Linked DNA regions of Drosophila melanogaster. The gene in region 1 interacts genetically with each later gene. Each region holds a gene or a part of one and is shown on either strand. Other genes may lie near its edges. The genes, in order: PPP1R15 and PEK.

Evidence for each region.
Region 2: of PPP1R15 (region 1) and PEK, changing one suppresses a phenotype caused by changing the other (phenotypic suppression), as found in Drosophila melanogaster (one study listed by BioGRID).

The regions. Positions count from the first base shown.
Region 1 is NT_033778.4:23,975,329-23,979,255, reverse strand, and holds PPP1R15 (protein phosphatase 1 regulatory subunit 15), read left to right. Parts: upstream 1-2,000; 5' UTR 2,001-2,364; coding exon 2,365-3,108; intron 3,109-3,168; coding exon 3,169-3,378; 3' UTR 3,379-3,657; downstream 3,658-3,927. Other genes in the region: mr (morula), read right to left, coding at 3,916-3,927.
Region 2 is NT_033777.3:5,462,808-5,466,734, reverse strand, and holds the start of PEK (pancreatic eIF-2alpha kinase), read left to right. Parts: upstream 1-1,981; 5' UTR 1,982-2,302; coding exon 2,303-2,520; intron 2,521-2,839; exon of another isoform or gene 2,840-2,942; coding exon of another isoform or gene 2,943-3,004; intron 3,005-3,614; exon of another isoform or gene 3,615-3,654; coding exon of another isoform or gene 3,655-3,683; intron 3,684-3,925; coding exon 3,926-3,927. Other genes in the region: RpL35A (ribosomal protein L35A), read left to right, coding at 361-582, 708-935, 1,004-1,027. UniProt on the Drosophila melanogaster protein: Phosphorylates the alpha subunit of eukaryotic translation-initiation factor 2 (EIF2), leading to its inactivation and thus to a rapid reduction of translational initiation and repression of global protein synthesis.

The DNA.
Region 1 (3,927 bases):
CATCGATTCGAATCCAACTGAATCCACACCGAACTGAACTGAACTGAACTGTGAACTGAAGAAGCACTGAAAACGAAACTCTCGGCGCAGCGCAACGAAACCGAAGCGATGAGATACGAATGCGAGTTGGGTTTGGATTGGAAGTGGAATCGAAATTGACGGCTGGAGTGGAGTAAGTGAAGAAACGAGCGCGACGCGAGCGAATAAACTACGCAAAAGATTTTACGTTTTTATTTTGTTGTACATTTGTGTATTTGTGATTTTGTTGTACTTGTTTCTTATGCAGCCCCATGTACTGCGCTGTATGTAATTATGCATATATGCCTTGCACATACATACATATATATGGCTCTGCTGTATCCGTGTGGGTGTGTGTATTTGGTGTGTGTGAGTGTGGTTTCGATTGTGATTGCTTCCCGACCAACGTCGATCGCTCACAGCTGTTCAAGTGAACTGACTGCAAGTTGATTTGAGTTGAGTCCACAGCACGTAGATACAGATACATGCACCCATACCAGCGTCACATACACGAGCTGTCGCTGTGTGCGTGCCAGAGACCGAAAGAGCGCAGGTTTTTGCGAGAGTTTCCTGACTCGACGAGTCAGGAGCGGACTTGCGGTTAGTTCAGTTGCATTGGCATAAAAGTGCCTTACGCCTTCCTTATTTTCCATAAAAGAGTTATTTCAATCAGCATAGAATTCTTTATTTGATTCGGTGCCCCTTTAAGTCATCAATTCTTCACAGCGCCCTTCTGGCTGGCGCCACCCGCACTGCGCCCCTTGGTTTGATATCAACTGTTGCAGTAGCGCAACAGTGTTGGTGTGCTGTGTGCGGGGAGGGGTGTGTACATGTACGCTTATGAATCAGCTGTTCCACTGTGTATTAATCATATGGCTGTTTGATTAATCTGTACGTTTGCTTGTGTGTTGTATGCATGTATATATACGAGAATAAATACACATTACGTATAAGCGTGCAATATACATATGTGCGCATGAATATGAATCTGGCTTCTGTTTATTTCAGACGATTCCGAACGGTCTTGAGAGCGGAAAATCTGAATATTATACGTAAATATCAGATATTATATGTATGCCAGTACATACATCCTCAGAAAACATATGCATGCAGGCACTATGCTGCCATATACGAGATCTCGAATAATATGCATAAATGGCATGCAGTTAACGTAGAACACTCGAATATTATGCGAAAATATAGAGATAACTATATATATTAACAGATACAAATTCGATGTACATATGTACACATAGTATTTATCTACAGAATGACGCAGCGGAACATGCACTTGCATTTTCATACAGTGTCAGGTATAAATATCGGGTAAAGAACCATGTACATGCAGTGTACATACGAGTATGCATGATTTAATTGTACTCGGACACACGGAAGTAATCGAGTTGATCGCTGCGACCGCAATATTTCATCCTAAGTTTTAAGGCTGCGATATATTTATTTACATTTTATTCTTAATTTATTTCTTTTAAAATAAGCAAATCTCCCAACATACATAATTCTAACAATTGGAGTACTATAACTAGATCTGTCTTCGTCTTCATAAACCAGAATCATGAACGATGACTCATCAATCATATGATCAATTTTTAAAGTGACTTCCTAGGAGCTTATGATCCATAAATTTGTATATCGGTGTTACATCCAGCTTAAATAAAAGTATACATTTATCACGGTTACTTAATATTGCTATTAAATCGCAATAATACCTAAAAATGTTCACTCACGGAGAAAAATCAGATTATCAACAATAAACTCATTTTCAATCTGTAAATAGAAAAATATTTAAATAACCTCTTATTTTAATAAATCTGGAAAGCCCTTTTAAAAGTTTCAACAATTTGAAACTTGAAATTGAAATTGCCTATCGATAGTTTGCAGTTGCCCGTTTTGAATGGGACGATTTTGTGGGGTGCTTAAGTGAATGGTCACAAAAACAACAATACCCAAGGTGATTCAACGTCTGTTATCGATAAATTTTCAGCTCTAGTGAAAAAGTATGGAACTATTCTGGTATAAAACGTGTAAAACTCTGAATATTATTGTGCCTGGACTCTATATCTCGCTATATACGCTACAAACGAAAGCAGAACTAGCCTACAACTGAAAAACAGTAAAGTGCAAAGGATCGGATGCACGACATACGTAACATTTCACCATATATGTGCGTTATTTCACTCCATATTACATTAGTTAATCGCAGTAACCATGGATAAGTGTGTTTCAAATTAAGCTGGCCACCATGCCCCCCAAAGCCAAGTTCAAGAAAATGGCCATTCGCAAGGGATTCCCACCACACCAAACGCATACTTGTGTCTTTAAGTTCAGATGTCGAAATTTCACACCCTTATGGGCGCACTGTTTGACCCCTTCCTCTTTGTTCTCCGCCTGATTGCAAACATGAGTTCCCCTATCTACGAGCAATATCGGTTCGGGCCGTCACGTCCCCTCTCCGCTGGATCACGTACACTGTGGAAGCCAAACAAGGTGCATCAGGAGGCACCCGAGGTCAAACCGCTCGAAGTCCCCGAGGATTTGCGGATCCCAACCCTGCAGCCAGACCCCCTGAATCCGCTGGCCACCATGATGTCTTTCAAGCTAATGGCTATGGACGTAGTAACTCAAATGCAGACCGCCCTGCACAAGTGCGTCAACGCCCAGAGTCCGCCGGGCGCCAAGATGGCGGGAATCGAGTTGGACGCCTTGCGGCGTTGCGTACCGTCCTCGTGCTACTTCTTTATTGACCTGCATCCGCACCACGGCTTTAAGGATACCGCGGAGGATTGCCCTACTAGTCAAGCCTCCAGTGACCGGAATAACAACGCTGGCTGTTCGCAAGGATCGGCTGCCAAGAGCTCCTGGCAGCGGCAGCGTAGTATTTCCGAGTGCAGTGAGGACAGCTTCATTTGCTTTGAGGACGACGCAGAGCAGGCGGATGAGGATGTCGAGGAAGACGAGGATGATGATGACGACGACAGCAGCGTGCAGTTTACAGCATGCGGTGAGGATGAAAATACCGAGGAGCTAAAGGCCTGCCAGTGCAGCGACGACAGCTCGACTCCTGTCAAGAAGGTGAAGAATATTTTTGCGCGGCATAAGTGGGCATATCTAATTTCCTATTTATGCGCACAGGTTCGTTTCAACATGAAACCCGAAGTTCACGTAATGCTCGCCTGGGACTACGCTTATCGGGCTGCCAGAAAGAGCGAATGGCAGGTAATGGCGCGAGATCGGGATCGCTTTCAGCAGCGGATTCGGCGGATTTCACCCATTCTCAATGCCGTCCTGACTCCAGTTCACCGAGATCGTGTCTACCAAGCTCGATTCTTGCACGAGGACTAGCTGGTCCGCATACCTGAAGTAACTTTTGATGTACAGATTACAGTTTAGAACGATTACAGCATTAAATTCCAAGTTGTTTGCGTGTATAAAGTGATCGATTTAGCCACTGCGTTCGTGATTGATTTTATGAAGCCAAAAACTGTTTAACCTGTAAAGTATATCAAAACCACGTACACTTTTCTTCGCCTTTAGTTTTAGAGCCCTAAGAAGTTTGAATTTGTTGATAACGGGATTAGCATATACCTTAATATAACTTGAAATAAATTAAGCAATAGACGTATTTTACTGTGTGTTCTTCTTTTCACATAAGATTGCTTGCATTGTGTTCCAAATTCCCAAGCCAAACAAGTTTGGGTAAAGACTTTGTGTGTACGTGGGTGAGAGATAAGCTCTGAATAGAAACAGATAAGACGGCAGTTTGAAAAAATAGGTACGTTTAACATGGAGCAGTAAATTTCATAAATGTTATCGCGTTAATTCATTATTTATTTCATGATTCCTTCAGTCGTTTGCAACTTGGTTTTGGATCTCCGAAACTTATTTGGCCAA
Region 2 (3,927 bases), on another chromosome or scaffold:
TGCAAAATTTCAGCGTTCATTTTTGGCCTCCGCTTTTCTTGTTGTTTTTAACGTGATTTCAATAACTTCTTGTGGAAGATTAATAAGTGATCCGTGTTATCAGTTTTTGTTTTTATCATTAAATGTTGCCCCAGGCCGGTCGGGTACAGGAATTTTCACCAGACTCCGCTTTATTTTTATATAAAATGATGTTTTTAATGTACTGTTGCCCAGAGCTGTGCACCTCAATATCTTCAATGTTTAAAGTACTTTTCGTTTAATCAAATGCATGCAAATGATCGAAACCCTCAAGCCCCAACGAATACCTATGATGAATGCCTACGGCTCTAAAGATTATCTTTTCTCATCCACAGCTAAGCCATGGCCGACACACAAGCCAAGTCCACTACTGCGCCCAAGGCCGCCAAGGCCCAGAAGGCTCCCAAGGCCGTCAAGGCGCCTAAGGCCGAGAAGCCCGCCGCCTCAGAGGCTAAAGTTTCCGCCAAGAAGTACAAGCGTCACGGACGCCTCTTCGCCAAGGCCGTCTTCACCGGCTACAAGCGTGGTCTGAGGAACCAGCACGAGAACCAGGCCATCCTCAAGGTATGTCTATACTTCAATGTGATGGGTCCGGACTTCACAGAGTTTTTCAAATAATAATTAATACATTCCAGTTCTGTAAAAACATTTTAGTAATGTAATTGATTAACCAACATATTACATTGCAGATTGAGGGCGCCCGCCGCAAGGAGCACGGATCCTTCTACGTTGGGAAGCGTTGCGTCTATGTCTACAAGGCCGAGACCAAGAAGTGCGTGCCGCAGCATCCCGAGCGCAAGACCCGCGTCCGCGCTGTCTGGGGCAAGGTCACCCGCATCCACGGCAACACCGGCGCTGTGCGTGCCCGTTTCAACAGGAACCTGCCCGGTCATGCCATGGGCCACCGCATCCGCATCGTTAGTTCAAACACACCTTTTCTGTCCGACAATTGGGTTGTATTAACATGCCTTCTTTTTTCTTGCAGATGCTGTACCCATCAAGGATTTAAGTTAATATCCGACTTGAATTACTGACCTGCAGGAGTAAAAAATCCGTTTTACATTAAATGAAACACTTTAAATTTAATTAAAACGCAACTTGGCTTTTTTATTAAGGCGAGATACCGATTGAAAGTTGACGGTAATCTGTATATCGATTGATGGCTGTTCGGTTTGACTTTCCCTACTGCAATGAATTATCTTTTGGCGGGACCATCCACTTCGCATTAAAATCCATTTATATTGATCTTAAGTAGCAGATGAAGACGATGGAAACGTTTTAGAGTACGAATTGAATGTGGATTTCGAGACTCTTGGCTAATGTCGTTCCTTTAGATCAGACATACCACTTCTACCATAATAGATTTTAATTAGTTTTGAAAATCTCAAAACTATTTTTTGTATTGCCAAAGTCAACGAATACTGTAGTGTGTACTACTAACGAATCTTTTCGCAAGGACACTAGGGGTGTATGGCGTAGCCTTTCTGCTCGAAAATCATACGAATTCAAGTTTCTGTTAATCAACAATGCGGTTTCTAAAAAAATCAAGGAAATGGTTTCATAGTAATCAAAAGTTTTTTAAAAAGAATAAATGTTGTAATAAACGTTTCTATATTATGACGAATATACCACCTAACATATTTTTAGAAGGTAGAGCATATTTAAATTAAAGTAATGTTTGAATTTCATTTGGTATGTGTCAGAATTATAGCCGAATAGAATTTATTTTTAAAACACGTCGAATAATAGAAGTATTCAATAAGAGATGAGATGGAAATAATACTTCATCTACTTTAATAATTATTGTTAAGTTGTCCCTATTTGTGTCAAAACATGGGCGTCAAACATTGTTTTAAATTAGTTACTGGAAAAGTTTAAAATAGTAAAACCTTAGTGAAACTGTTCCCACCGTGTGTATTTTTTTGGTACTTTTAGGTAATGACGAAATAAACTGTATTGTGGTGTCATCTGTTATTTTAAGGCTGTCAAAACGCGGTCACACTTGCAATCGCGCGTTTTGCGGCCCAATCGGAACAAAAACATAAACTGACCAGTTTTAGTGGATTTAAATAGTGGAGTTGCGATTGATTGCTGCAGGAGCCATCGAGAGTGATGCGGAGATGTGCGCCGACCTTGCCGGGAGCCACTGCCGCCGCTGTTCCACCAACCGACCCCCCGAAGTGAGGTCAACACGTCACCGTTCGAACCAATTAGAGACTTGCATTTCTGCACCGTTCCCCGCGTCCGATCGCCAACGACCAGGATTACGTTATATGCGCGTACGATGCAGGACGACCTGGATGGCATCGTGAGGCATCGTCGCCGGAGCCTGAGCTTCCTGCAGATCGTCACGCTCACTATGGCCGGCCTGGTGGCTTTCGATCCCGCCCAGGTGCTAGCTGGGCACCCAACTACTGATTCGGAGCTCCAGACTGCCGGATCTCCCCGTCCCCCCGGGCTCGAACACTGCGTAGATCAGGAGGAGCGTCGCGTTGCAAGAAGGTACGTACCCTAACCAAAGTATCGGGAGGAATGCACTGGTATCGAATGGATTGTAGCAGAAGAAGAAGAGTGCGTTATGTGTGTGTTATGTTTATGTTCTCGAACATTCGCTAAAACGCGGTGCAAGTGGATAAACGAGCAGCCAGCACCTAGGCAAATATTGCGAAGAACACGTTAGTGATATTTGGTTGAACTACTCGAAAAGTGCCTATTTAATCAGCTAAAACGGGGAATTCGAAGAGAACTGTGGTACGACGGGGGGCCAGTGAAAATACGTAGCTCAAAATTCTCGGCTGATCCGACAAGTTGGTAACATTTGCGACGGCCCTTAGCTTTAAGTACCTTGTCCCGTCTAACACGAGAAATTCGGAGAGCTTCTGTTCAACTTGAAGTCTGGGAGCGATCTGATAATATGAACCCACATGTTTGCACCTTGGCCAACTATGAAAACCCGTAATCAGTGGACGCGCTTATCAAGCATGCGGTGAGTCATTTGCAAGATCTTAACTGAATTTTTGTTTGAGGCAGACGTCTAGATATGTTGTTTGGCAAGCATGCCAATCCGAACTGGTTTCCCCGATTGTTTTGCTTTCCTTTGCGTTTGTGCAAGGTTTTCACTGAATTTCACAATTCTCCCCCCGTTTGCTTTATCCCCCCTTTTTGCGGGCGCCATTTTCGGCTCCTTGGTGGGCGCGACAGAGATGGCGATAGGGGAAATGGAGAGGGGCCAACTGACACTTGTTGTTCCTCGAGTTCTTGTCTTCTTGGCGCAAAAACAGCTGAGTTTACTTCCCATTTACCTTTTCTACGCTGTCAGCTGGGTCTGCCAGTGTGCCCCTTTTCCTGCTTTCCTTTATTCTTGCCCCATGCACCGTGTACCTGGTGACGGAATCGGTTGCAAGCACAAATCAACTTTTTGTATAATTGCAAATTTAACTCTAGTATTTAATCTTTCGAGTTGAAATATTTTAAACAGTTAACCAAAGGCTTACTCACTTACAGAAAATTCAATTTTTACATTAATTGCACGAATAGAAAATATTACATAAAAATCAAATCATTACTTGAATCTATGTATGCTGTGTTTTTTGTTTTTTCTTCAAAATCTTGTGTTTGTTTATTTCAAGCTCGCCCATGGTAATTGGATATTACCTACATAAAGGGTATACGGTATTCTTATATTTAACAAGAACGGCTTTTAAAAACATATTGGCCTCGCCCACTCTAAATTCCACAAGCTACAAAATCCTTGTTACGCTGACACGGTATCATTTAGCGAAAATAACAATTTGGCAAATTCCGCCATTATGGACTATTAGCTAATATGGAGTAGTCGATATTTATTTATTAAATATGGAAATAAAAACATTAAAACTTGGTATTGCATTATTTATTCTATCCACAGAC